Linked DNA regions of Sus scrofa. The protein of the gene in region 3 interacts with the protein of the main gene of each other region in a pairwise test. Links are inferred from orthologs where the notes say so. Each region holds a gene or a part of one and is shown on either strand. Other genes may lie near its edges.

Region 1 (4,682 bases), on a different chromosome or scaffold from region 3:
ACCTTGGAGGGCATTTAAGGCGACATCAAGCTATAGTCCCAGATTCAGACAATAAGTGATGCCATACCCAGAAGAAGCCAAGTCAGCTCCAAAAGGCAATGTGGAGCTAGCCTTTTTTTTTGGCCGCCCCAGAGGATATGGAGTTCCCAGGACAGCGCTCAGATCCAAGTTGCAGCTGCGACATTGGGAACAGCTACTTTTGTTTTTAAATGGAGCTGGAGGCACCCAAGGACCTCCTAATGGCTCCAGGGTGTAGACCACTTTCCCCATCTCTCACTGCACAGACTGCTCTCTACCAGGCAGTCAAGATCCCCATTTAAATGCTGTCCACCTCCCTGGACCCTCTATGGCTCCCCAGGGTGGGGCTCACAGCACCCAGCCTGGAGCAGCAGCTCCATCCACCTCCAAGGGAATGAATGCTCTGATATGAAGGCACCCAGAAGTTCCAACCGAAGCTTGGAAGAGGGCTGGTGATGGAGACACAGAGCTCAGAGGCTGACAGGGGTCACGGTGCCACAGGGAAGGATGCAATCATCAAAGGTGGTACCAGACGAGAGGCAACCAGGGAGGGTGGAGCTCACTCTGGGCGGGAAGAAAAGATGGAGGAGGAGGTGGTAGAGGCATCAGGCAGGTGCAGAGCCCTCAGAGGTGACCAAAGAGTGAATGGAAAGGAGAGGTCAAACTGGAAGAAAGCCCCTGGGGGCTCTGTAAGGGAGAAGGTCAGTGGAGCAGACCCAAGGGATGGGCGGCAGCTAGCGGAAGCTGCCACTTCCTCCTCTTAGGGAAGCTGGCTGGATGGGAAGGCGAGGATGTGGTATTTAGAATAAGAGATTTCCACATGCTGGGTGGATAGAGGGGCAGGAATGACTAAAGCAGCAGCAAGAGGCCAACGAAGTCAGAGAGCAGGGATAGGTGGCCCGAAGATCTGGTGAGTGAAGTTCACAGAGCTGAGCCCCGGGAAGAATGCCAGGCTCCTGGTTAGGGCGTTGTAGTCTCTGCCTTCCCTGACCGTGGAAGACACCTTGGAAGAAGCTCCTGGGCACCGTCTCCCTGGGAGGTGGGCGGGACTGCTGGCCAAAGGTCAGGGCAGAGGCAGCTCCACTGAGGAAATGGAGAAGGACCAGCGTGGAGGGGAAGGAACTGGGAGGAGCAGCCAGCTGTCCCCTTCTCCAGGCTGCTGGGCATAGAGCTGGACCCACGAGCAGCCCTGAGGACCAGCTGCCCCACGGGCGAGGGGGGAGCAAGACAGGCTGCACCTGCATGCGGAGCCTTGGGGAAGGTGAGCTAGTGAAGGGCCCTGAAGGTCAATTCCACGGTTGAGGGAGAAGACTTTCAAAGAGATCAGCGAAGTCGGAGGGGCAGGGACCCAAGGAGACAGTATTTCGTGGCTTTCAGGAAGGGAAATTGGGAGGCAGTCAGGAAGATATCACCAAGAACGAGGAAGGGTGTGTGCAAGTTCCTGAAGAGGAAAAAGCAGCTGAATTTAGCAGCCTGGGTGGCGGGGGGGGGGGGGGGGGGGGGCGGGGGGTGAAGGTCAAAAGTATCAAAGACTTTACAACAGCCCAAGGCTGGAGACTCAAAAGCCTAGGTCCTGGGCAGGGGGATGGGGGCCAACAAGGAGTGTGGTTATGACCAAAAGCTGGTTTTGAACCAGGCTGTGCGACTTACTAGATGTGCCACCCTGGGAAAATTATTTTGTCTCTGTGCCTCATTATCTCCATCTGCGAAATGGGGAGAATGCTACTTTATAGGATCGGTGTAAAGTTTAGACAATTCCTATGTACAATGTTCAGAAGCATATCGGCGTCTACAGGGAACCTCCCAATTTTATTTTTCAGTGGCCTCTATCCAGTGGTGGGTGAATGCCAGAGGGGCTGGCTGCGGGCGAGGGGCATCTGCCTCTATGGGTTTAGGCCAGGGTTGTAGAGCTGCAGCGTCCTCCCCGCCCCCCACCTGCCCCCCGACCAGGGATAGTGCAATGACTGGGGGACAGACTTGTGACACCTGCCCAAAGACTGCTGCCGGGAAGGCCTAGTCTCCCTGGGAGAGCGGGCAGAAGGTCAGGGAGGTTGGACAGGGGCTAGACCTCCTCTGCGCACAGTCACGCGTCCTAGGTTTTACAGATCAACCCAGATTTCGAAACCTCTGCTCCCTGGTACCCAAGAGGACAGCAGAACTCATTGCCCCACACCCTAAAGTCCAGTCACGGCAAATACAGGACTCCGTTCTGAGACTGCATTCCTTGCCAATGACTCTCTGGCCAAGGAGAAGGCTACTTTTACCAAGGGCAAGGGGGATAGCCTGGGCCTGCAGAGGTGCTCACTCAGTCTCAGGCAGACAGAAAGCCAGGGAAGGTGACAGACCAGGGGTAATCACGACCCCTAACCTTGAGACATATGGGGGGGGGGCGGTACTTGAGAATTTAAATGCAGCTTCCTCTTTAAAATCTGCCAGGACCAGGCCCTTTGCTGCGCCAGAGTTCTGCTCTAACTCACAACAGGGGGTAGAAGGAGGTGGCTTCTGCCTGGCCCTCCCTGCTGGGACCCCTCCTCGCCAGGCAGCTGCTGTCAAAGGCTCAATTTCCCCCTCTGCCCAGGAGACCATTGGCCCAGGCGCTCCTTCCTAACCTCGGGCCCACCCCACCCGGCCCGGGCCCCGGGGGTGGGGGAAGCAAACTGCCCAGGGGCTTACGAGATGGGAGGGCCGGAAACGGCAGCCTTCAGGGGAGCCCTGCGGATGCCAGGGACCTCTGCCAGGGGAGGGGGCGGCGCTGACCGGCACGTAGTTCCCCAGTAGTGTCCGGCTTCCCTGGCCATTGAAATCAGATAGGTGGCCCCGAGGCTGTTCTGATCCCAGGGGACATGCCGCCCGCTTCCCCTGCTCGGCTCAGGCTGGACGGTGCAGGGGGCGGCGAGGGGAGAGGGTAGAAAAGGGGTGGATCGCCGGGGCCCGGCCTCCCCGCGCCCCCCAGCGGGGCGGGGCAGGGGGATCCCAGACGCGGCACCCGAAACGACTGGTCAGGCGGACCCCAAGAGCCCAGCTCGCCCCCTGCCCGCCGGAGCCCCGGACTCACCGGCCTAGCGGAGGCAGGATCCCGGTGTCGCCGCAGTGCCCGGGGCTCGGCCCGGCCCGGCCCGCTGGCGGGAGGCTGCTCCACGCCGCTGCCTCCTCGGCCCGCCCCGCTCCAGCCCCTCCCGCACACTTTCCACAGGAAATGATTAACTCGAGGCCGCGGCGCGTTCCCATGGCAACCGGCTCCGACCCTGGGGGTGGGGGGGCGGCGCGCTCGCTCCTGCACACACTCACACACTCACACGCGGGACCGCCCACTTCGACAGACCCTCCCGCTGGGTCTCCCCAAGCCCCCCGCCCCCCCCCCGCACATGCCTGTGCACACATGCGTGCTCATCCGGGCGCACACGCACCGTCCTACGTGCTCACATATGCACGGCACTCACATATATTTGCACACATGCTCTAGGGAGTCTACATGAAGGCACTCACATTCTCACACACATTCCCACGCTCATTTCAACACGCATGCTTTTGCACTTACACTCAGACGCACCTCCTCACTTTCACACGCACTGCACTAGTTACTGCTCACACACACACTTCTCACAAGTGCTCCCTTGCTGCCCTTCGCATGCTCTCACAAACTCCAGTACACGTTTACTTGACTTCATAGCACACACACTTACATACTCTAGCTAGTACCTATGCACACTTGCACATTCTCACACACTCACGTTACCCCATGCTTTCTCACAAATGCTGTACACACTCCTTAGGATACACACCCACTTGCACACATGCATGTTCTCACATGATGGCCAACTCTTTCTCACACTCCAGCCTACGCGTGCTTTTAAACCCCGGGACACACTTTCACATATGCTCTAGTTAGCACATGCATAGTGTCACACGTTAGCACAGGCATTTTTCACGTACATCATCTTGCTAGCTCTAAAAGGAGTACACAGGCCAGGTTGCCTCCCAGCCAGGGCACCACCTGCTGTCCCCCACCCTCCTTACCCCTTCCACAGCCCCCTTTCCAGAGCAGAGATGTTTGAGATTCTTTAAGGTAAAATATTCCTTTAAGCTCCCGTGAAAACATGTACAGAATGTAGCTGCTCTGGAGCAAGCAGCAGCTCCCACTGCAGCCCCGGAAGCCCCCTCCCCCCCCATAGAATGCCCCAGAAGAAGCCTGGGGGAGGCTAGGGAGCCGACCAGCCAAGGAGAGACAGCTGACCCGGAGGAGCCACTCTGTTCTTTGTCTCCCAAACAGAGGCAGCATTTACTCCAGAGTCAGCAGCAATATTCCCCCTCCAGGGTGCGGAAGGAGGAGAGAGGAAAGAAACTCAGAAGCCAGCCTAGTGCAGGCTGATGGTTCCGAAGATAATCCGAGGGGGATGCGCGTGCTGCCCCTTCCTGCTTAACTGGGGAGGGGCCAGGAGAGGACTGGAGGGGCCCATGCAGCTCCAGATGGGTTCTGTCTCCTACCGCTGGGCAGGCGCTGGGCTAGTGGTCAAGAATCTCAACCAGAGACAGAGCCAAGGTTCTGGGCCTCAGATTGTTCTGGATGCCAGACCAGGCCAGACCAGGACACTCACAATCCCTCTAATAAAAGTGAGCTCCAGGGAATTCCGGTTGTGGCTCAGTGGTAACGAACCTGACTTGCA
Region 2 (4,524 bases), on a different chromosome or scaffold from region 3:
ATTTCTTTAGGTGTGATAATGGTAATGTGGTTTTTTTGGTTTTGTTTTGTTTTGTTGTTGTTGTTTGTCTTTTTGCCTTTTCTAGGGTCGCTCCCGCAGCATAAGGAGGTTCCCAGGCTAGGGGGTCGAATTGGAGCTGTAGCCGCTGGCCTACTCCAGAGCCACAGCAACGAGGGATCCGAGACAGGCCTGCAACCTACACCGCAGCTCACTGCAACGCCGATCCTTAACCTACTGAGCAAGGCCAGGGACCGAACCCGCAATCTCATGGTTCCTAGTCGGATTTGTTAACCACTACGCCAGGACGGGAACTCCGGTAATGTGTTATATTTTAAAAGTCCTTAGATATACAAATACTTATGGAGAAAAAAATCCATGAACCTGGTTCTCCCTCTGCCCAATCGTTTGTCTTCCACAAGAACCCTTGTTCAGAGCAACTAACTGGAGGCAGGGGTCCTGGCAGAGGGATGTCCCACGTCAGACAGACTTAAGAACAGTCCCAGATGTGTTCTAGGACACATCTGTATGATGGGGATAGCAGTAATATCTCCTTATGGACTGATCGCGGGCATGTGATTAGAAAAGTGTAAAACACCTAGCTCTGTGTCTGGACTACTGAGGGCCAATCAGTGTGATTCCACAAAGAGTCTGAGAGCCAAAACTCAGACTGGAGAGGGGAGGTTGATGGGAAAGTCACCTCTGTCGATGGGGGGCCCCCCTCCCACTTCTGTAGCCCCACCAGGCACTACTCCAAAGGGCACGCACCACGTGTGTCTCCACTCTTCCCCAGTTTTTTTTTTTTTTGTCTTTTTGTTTTTTGTCTTTTTGTCTTTTGTTGTCTTCCCCAGTTTTGACCTTATCAAAGGACTAACTCTCCTCCTGTTTAATCAATCCCTCCCCTTAAACCATTCTCATTTTTACTTGAGTTACTTTATAAGGGAGGTACGTTAACAATACTCAAGTGAAAATCAGTCGCTTAGCAGTTAAAAATTAAAAAGTAGACTATAACACGGAAAGAATAAATCTAATCAATTTACAGAAACGCATACTATTAAGAGGAGCTCCCCGAGGCAAAGGCCGAACTTGCTTAACTAGTAAATTTACTTATTTTAAAATGAAGGAGCTTATCTTCATTAGAACTGAAAACATCACTTTTCACTGATAGATCCTAATATTTTTGTCTGACCGGAGAACCCGAGGTTTGTTCATTCTTACTAGAAACGCACAAATAGTTAACTTTTAAAAACGTGACTTAAAAGTAATAGTAAGAATATCAAGACCGGTAGTTTCGCTGACGCATTCGTTTAAGGATTATTTGCAGCCTTCAACTAACTCTCCCGGCTCTACAAGGGTCCGATTACCGAGGCCCGCCCCTAACTTTGGGAGCCTGGGCCCCCCTCCCCCCACCGCCGCCAGCCGCGGCCGGTTCCGCGGAAGCCGCCGCGGCCACCCGGCCCCTCCCCCACCCCCACAGCAGCTCTCGGGCCCCGGTCCCGCTGAACAACCCGCCCGCCGAGGCAGGCAACTCCTTCCCCCCACGCCAGGTTCTCTGGCTCGAAAATAGCTGTGAAGCACGTTGGTTTGTCGTAGGGCCTCCAAGGGAAGGAAACTGCCGCGAAGGGCGTCTCGCGGGGCTCGCAGGTAGCCGGAGAAGGGAGGCAGGCTCTCCCGGGCCTGAGGTTCGTCCGGCGGGAACCTGTGGGGGTCCCCTGATAAGGAAAAGACTAACCGGGAGGAGCTTGAGGCCTCCTAACCGTAAAACACCGGGGCCCAGGGTCGGTCGGGCCCCGCGTCTCGCGCGGCGTCACCCAGACCGCTCGGCGCCACCTTACGTGGGCCACGCGGGGGCTGGGAGGCAGAGGGAGCCGCGCGAGCGCCGGCAGCGTCCAGCAGTTTCTGGGGCGCAGTCACGAATTAGCAAAAATACACTCAAAGATAAAAGGATAAGTGAAGAATAAAAAAACGGCCGACCAAGTTTCCCCAGCGGAAGTGTGGGCACCAGGCAAAGACAACAAGAACCGAACAGTTTCAACCAAAATATCCACATGCTACCTTTGAGAGCAGGAGACAAATGCAGACCGGCTCAGGGCACACACGCGGCGCGGAGAGGAAGAAAAGGCCGCAAAGACGGAAAGTGGAGGCTCTGCGAGCGGGAACGTGGGAGGGGGGAGGAGTCAGTTCCCAACCAGTCCCGTGCAACTCCCTGACGCGCGCAGCCACGTGAAAGTACTGCTTTCATTTTTAAATGAACCCCCTCTCACGGTCGCCCCATGTTTTCACCGTACCCCAGGCAGGGGCGCTCGGGCTCTGCCTCCCCACCCCAAGAGTCCGCACCAGGCTCTTCCTCCCTTCCGATCCTGCGTCCTCTGACACCAAACCTCAGCCCCGCGATCCAGTCCCCGAATGTAAACCAGTGGCCTCAGGCCCACCTCCCCGAAGTTCACATCTCAGTCCCGCAGGCCCCACCCTCAGTGGGCCAGGTCCTCGTTCAGGACCTAGTCGGTCCCTAGGTGTGTGGCTCCTGATCTCAGACCCCAAATTTCAGCCCCACGGTCTTCAACCTCCAGTAGGCCCAGGTGCAGGCCTTTACCACAGATCCCGCCTCCCCTGACCCCCAAATCTCAGCTCCTCGGTCCTCAATGCCAGGGGCCTCGGTTTCTGGTGTGTAGGCCTCGGACACGCCGCCCCTACCACCCCTCACCTTGGGCTCCGAGTCTCCACGCTCCCGCTCGTCTTCACATCCGGCACCTCGGTCGACCCTGTGAGCACCTAGAAGAGGGTGGAACGCGGGGGACTTGGCAGTTGTAGCAGAGGCAGTTGAGGCTTGTTTACCATCACTATGGAAACCTCTGGCAGCGCGCCCTGGGCGGGGCTTACGAGGGGCGGGGTCAGGCGCGCGGAAGGCCTGAGTCCACAACTCCCGCCCGTCGTGCGCACGCGGCGCTTCCGGAAGCCCTTATGCCTTGGTTTGCCTTGACCCTCCCCTCCTCAGACCTGCGCCCAAATACCCGGGAACAACAGCCCCAGGAGCCCCTGCCCCCGCCCCCGCCTCCGGCTGCCGGCGTGACCGCGGGCCGTTTTCTCTGCAGAACCCCACCTTTCGCTCCTGAAAGACGCGGCGCAACCCCACTTCCAAGACGGAGCCGGAAGGACGTAAAGACCGCGGCGGGGCGGAGTCTCCAAGGCGGGTTATGGGGGTGGGGCCACAAGGGCGCCGTTGTGACGCGCCCGGAGCGGAGTCGGGGATTGGTCGGCCAGGCGCAGGACCGGGCCGGGGCCTGCGGTGCGAGGGCGCTGCAAGTGGCAAGGTGGGTTACGTGGGCGAATCCTGCTCGAGGGAGGGGAGGGCAAGGCTTATGGGTTTTTCCGGCGTCTCTAAGGGTATCATCTGGGAGAGTTTCCCCAACAGTGAGCCCAAAGGATCCCTGGATTGAAGACCAGCGTGACAGAAGAAAATGAGAGTCATTTCCTGCCGAGGAGGAAGAAAGAGGGAACCAAATCCTGGAAACCGACAAAGGCTGTTCCGAGAGCAGGGTTTAGGGAGGGATTGGTAGGTTGAGGTTGCTCATGTGATTATCACTTGGGCTGAGAAGGCCTAAGGTTTCTGAAGGTGACCCTCAAGTCCCCAGGGAAAAGCAGACATTTCAGAGCACCTGAGCGACAGGGTGGATGGTAGCTGAAGTGGCTACTCTGCCTGAGGCAGTGGAGCAGATTATTTTTTTATGTGTTCTAGGATTATTAATTATTACCATTTTATTTTTGGAGACTCAATTCATGAAGAGGAAAATATAAAGAAACTCATCACTGATTAAGCAGGTTGCTTTTTAAATAAATTAAGGGAGTGCTTGGAATAGGGTCAGATTATGAATGGACAACCTATAGTGAAGGAAGGAGAACAGTTTGTCAAAAGAAGTTGATTTGGGAGGGATGGGAAAAGTAAAAGCAGGAGGTAAAAATGTATGAGAAGACTCAGGCGAAGCATAATTACGGAAAACAGGTCCTACAAAATTCAAATAGGTATTCTTAAGAAACCCAATGATCCCATGCTAGCTCATGGTATAGAAAAGTCTGTTTATGGAAAGAAAGTGCAAGTAGCTAATCTGAGGCAAATATTTAAATTACCACCCCACCCCCGACCCCACCCCTGCAAAAAAAAAGATGCTTCAGGGTTTAGGGACTGTGAAACCAGATTCATGCAATCCACTAAGAGGGCCTGCGAGGAGTTCCCGCCGTGGCGCAGTGGTTAACGAATCCGACTAGGAACCATGAGGTTGTGGGTTTGGTCCCTGCCCTTGCTCAGTGGGTTAACGATCCGGCATTGCCGTGAGCTGTGGTGTAGGTTGCAGAGGCGGCTCAGATCTGGCTACAGCTCCAATTCGACCCCTAGCCTGGGAACCTCCATATGCCTCGGGAGCGGCCCAAGAAATGGCAAAAAGACAAAAAAAAAAAAAAAAAAAAAGAGGGCCTATGAGCCAAGTAGGCTTTATTTATTTATTTATTTATTTTGTCTTTTTAGGGCCGCAC
Region 3 (3,915 bases):
CTGTATAGTGGCTTGTGTCTCTGCATCTGTCTGTCTGCACATATGTGCACCTCTACATCTGTGTTGCATCTCTGTCTGTGTGCTGTGTGTTGCATCTATGCCTATCTGTGTGTTTGGATGTCTGCATACATGTCCTGAGAGCCTCCTCATGCACACATGCCCTTCTCCTGGGCCAGGAAGGCCCCACAGATACAGATGAATCTCAGGAGGGTGAAAGGCGGAAGCAAAACAAGGAAACGAGATTCTTGGTGCAGTCTTTGGTGGCATAGCTGACATTTTTTATGTGAAATGACTCACTGGGGCTGGGAATTCCACAGAGGGTGAGGCCCCTCCCTTCAGTACCCTGCACCCCTGGAGTTTCTCCAGCCTGGGGATTCTTCTTCTTCTTTTTTTTTTTTTAAATCTTTTTAGGGCCACATCTGCGACATATGGAAATTCCCAAGCTAGGGGTTGAATTGGAGCTGCACCTGCCAGCCTACATCACAGCCACAGCCACTGCAACTTGGGATCCAAGCCATGTCTGCGACCCACACCACAGCTCACAGCGACGTCAGATCCTTAACCCACTGAGTGAGGACAGGAATCGAACCCGAGTCCTCATGGGTACTAGCTGGGTTCATCATCGCTGAGCCACAGTGACAACTCCCAGCTTGGGGATTCTTCTGCACAGGCTGGCTAGTGGCTGGGAGGTCCAGAGTAGGAAGGCATGTGCCCTGGGGCACCCAGCTCTCTGCCGCCTGCCTGATGGCTGGCTGCAGTGGGGAGGGCCTGAGGAAAGTTCAAGGTCCATCTACCTTCTCCTCCCTGCAGCCCTGGGGGATCCACTCACCTCTTGGGAAAGGTAGGGCAGGACCTGGGCACATATCCCATTCAGCCTCTTGACGATCTCAGCCTGGAACACACAGACGCTTCAGTCCTGGGCGGGCAGCTGGGGCAGGTGCAGACCAGCCCTAGGAGGCCCGGGGGTTCTGTCTAATCTGAGAGAAGGCCAGCTCGGCCCACGGTGGATCAACTCTTCAGGCTCACAGGCACCTTTAAAGGTGGCATCCAAGGCTGGATCTCTGCCCTGTAGCTAAGAGCACAGGTCAGAGGGAATCCAGGGTCTCGGTGGCAGTGGAAAGATGATGCTCAGCTCTTAGTAGGTAGTGAGTGCTCCATGGGAGGGAGGGAGCAAGTGGCAGGGGACGGCTGGCATCGTCATTTCACAACATACCTGATATTGGCCTCGCCAGGGCACAGGTGGCAAGAGCAAGGCCAGAGGGCGAGGGGCAATCTGGGGGCCCCAGGGCATGTTGGCACATGTCACACACCTCCACATCCCCACCCCCATCCACCGCCCCCACATCCCTCCCAAGCCCCTTCACAAGGGGAGACAATGGGATGGGGGTGGCAGGTCCCAGGAAAGTCTCTGCCCCTCCCCCTCCCGGAGATAAACCTCCCAGGAAGGCCAGAGAAAGAACAGAACAGGGGCTTTGGTGGTAACAGGATACCAGGGCAGACTTGGTGCTCAGCCAAGGGCGGGCTCCTACCTGCCTAGGGGTGCCCAAGTGGGGCATGGGGCGGAGGAGAGGGGGAAGGAGGGGGCGTACCTGCTTGTGCATCTCGATGTTCAAGCCGTAGGACATTTCATAGTACTGTGTGGGGGGAGACAGAGAGAGAGAGAAATGGGGGCGGGTGAAGGATAGGGGGGCTCGAGAGACAAAGGATGGGGGGAGCTACGGAAAGACAAAGAGGCAGAGAGGGAAGAAATCAAGAGACAGCCAGAGGGAAAGGCAGGCGAGAGAGATGGAGAAGCAGGTTGGAGGGAATGGAAGGGGAGAGACACCCACACCAGGAACAGGGTCCAGGTGCGTGGTGGGGGCTCTGCTGGGGAAGCCTCGGGAAGCATCAGGGCCCCAGCAGTGGCTTGGGTGCCCATGTTCCTGGAATAACGATGGGGGGGCCTCTCCAACTCATACACATTCCAAGGCTCCTAATCTTTTATCTTTATGTGTCTTGTCTGCGGGTGGCCCTGACTTCAGGGAAGTTTGCCTTCCTGGGTATAAATAATCTGAGCATAAACAAATCCTGCTGGGTCTGCCTCTGAGGCCAGCAGCCCCCCTCCTCACGCCCCATATCTGACCCTGGCCCCTCCCCTGCTCTAAACCATCCCATGGTTCCCCATCACCCAGGGGGAGGGGGAGGGGAGTCAAGTTTGTTCCCGGGCCTTTGTGTGGTCTCCCCTTCTCTACCCAGCAAGCTCTTACTCATTCTTCAAGACCCCAGCTGCAATGCCCCATTGTCCATGCAGCTGCTCAAACTAGAAGCACCTTCCTCTGGAGTCCCCCAGTCCCTCTCTCTGCCCCAGCCCTGTCCCTCTGAGGCCAGATCAGAGGTTCAATGTGTGGCTCTGCCTCCCCTATAGCCTGGGAGAAGTGGGCTCTTGGCTGGACCAAGGCAGGGGTTTTGGATGCAGAAATTGCCGCCTGGTGGGTATGAAGCTGAGCAAGTGATTTTGGAGGTGTGCAAGGGGGCAGGGTATCGAATGTAGCCCCCCCCCCCATGCAAGAGTGTCAGAAGAGTGTCAGCCTCCTCCCTGGAGAGGGGGGCCTCCAGGGGTCCTGGGGCCAGCCAAGCCTGGGTGAGGAGGGGTTAAACCTGGGAGGCCAGGACCATGGGGGCGGGGAGGGATCCGGCTGCTCCCCCACGTCAGTTCCTGGCTTTCACAGCCACTGCCTCCACGGCTGCCAAGGACAGCCGGGGGACCTGGCAGGCCCAGGCTGCAACCCGGTGGTTTGGCACCTCGGCCACTGCCTGGGCCGGCAGCCAGGCCAGCAAGACGGACTGAGCCCGGCCCAAGGGCTGGCTGAATGGAGAGCAGACCCTGACTCCTCGCACATCCCTGAGGAGGTGGCCAGGGTTCGGGCAGCAGCTGCTGGTGCCAGAGGGGGCTCTGGGGTCCACCATCCCTGCCTGCTGGCCCCTGGGGCTGGCTTACCATCACATAATGACGCTGCATCTCTGACTTCTCGCTGGCCAGCTTGTCACATTCGAGTTTCAGACTGAAGAAGAACAAGGGGAGGGGAGGGGGCTGGGCTGAGTTTCCCCCCATTGTGCAGGGGGACAGACACTTCCTCCTCTATGAAGATGGGGCAGGGGGAGCATCAAGTGTCCTAACTAAAACATGGGGATGATGAAACCAACCTTTGAGAGCTGGGGAAAATAATGAAATTAATAAGAAAGCCATGAAAATAATAAGAAAAATAACAAAAGTCAGAGCAAATGCCCTGACTGTAGGTCAGACAGGGATTCAGAGAAACTTTTACTTATCCTGAAACCTGACGAGGTCGAGGCTATTAATGTCACTCTCCTTTTGCAGATGACGCAGTGGAAGCCCAGAGAGGCTGAGTGAACAGGCTCAAGGTCACACAGCCCAGAAGCTGGCTTCAGAAGCTACGGTCTCAACTACTGGGGCAAACTCTCCAGCAAGGGAAGGGAGGAATAAATAGATCCTGCCCAGAGTCTGTGAAGGCCGGAGCTGACTGGCAGGGCTCAGGACTGGATTTACCAAGGAACCACCCAGCCTGTCTTGTGGGCCCTGATTTCCCTGGTGTGTGTGTGTGTGTGTGTGTGTGTGTGTGTGTGTGTGTGTGTGTGTGTGTGTGTGTGTGTGTGTGAGTGTGTGTGTAAATTTCCACCATCAGGTAATAGAGATGGTGACCACTGTCCTCTCTCAGGCTCCTCCAGCAAAGATGAGCTTAGGGCATTTCTCAAAGGCCCCCCGCCATGAGGGTGACAGGTTGAAAGCTGAGAGCTCAAATTCAAGCCAGACAGACTGGTTCATTGATGCTGTGTGACTCTGGGCAAACCCTTCTACCTCTCTGGGCCTCGGTCTCTGAATCTGTTGAGTACCAACCGCCCAGGGTAGGATGGTAA

Evidence for each region. The genes of interacting proteins can lie anywhere in the genome.
Region 1: the proteins of AES (region 3) and KIFC3 interact in binary tests that used the Homo sapiens proteins (3 or more experiments, as listed by UniProt). The two-hybrid records come from large-scale screens. The link is inferred for Sus scrofa from reciprocal best matches to the Homo sapiens genes TLE5 and KIFC3.
Region 2: the proteins of AES (region 3) and HNRNPF interact in binary tests that used the Homo sapiens proteins (3 or more experiments, as listed by UniProt). The two-hybrid records come from large-scale screens. The link is inferred for Sus scrofa from reciprocal best matches to the Homo sapiens genes TLE5 and HNRNPF.

What each region holds. Positions count from the first base shown.
Region 1 is NC_010448.4:19,692,919-19,697,600, forward strand, and holds the start of KIFC3 (kinesin-like protein KIFC3), read right to left. Parts: upstream 3,187-4,682; 5' UTR 3,074-3,186; intron 1,280-3,073; exon of another isoform or gene 1-1,279. UniProt on the Homo sapiens protein: Minus-end microtubule-dependent motor protein. Involved in apically targeted transport. Required for zonula adherens maintenance.
Region 2 is NC_010456.5:61,664,760-61,669,283, forward strand, and holds the start of HNRNPF (heterogeneous nuclear ribonucleoprotein F), read right to left. Parts: upstream 3,187-4,524; 5' UTR 3,098-3,186; intron 2,770-3,097; exon of another isoform or gene 2,702-2,769; intron 2,144-2,701; exon of another isoform or gene 2,053-2,143; intron 1-2,052.
Region 3 is NC_010444.4:75,495,158-75,499,072, reverse strand, and holds part of AES (amino-terminal enhancer of split), read right to left. Parts: intron 3,042-3,915; coding exon 2,978-3,041; intron 1,635-2,977; coding exon 1,590-1,634; intron 893-1,589; coding exon 830-892; intron 1-829. UniProt on the Homo sapiens protein: Transcriptional corepressor. Acts as a dominant repressor towards other family members. Inhibits NF-kappa-B-regulated gene expression. May be required for the initiation and maintenance of the differentiated state.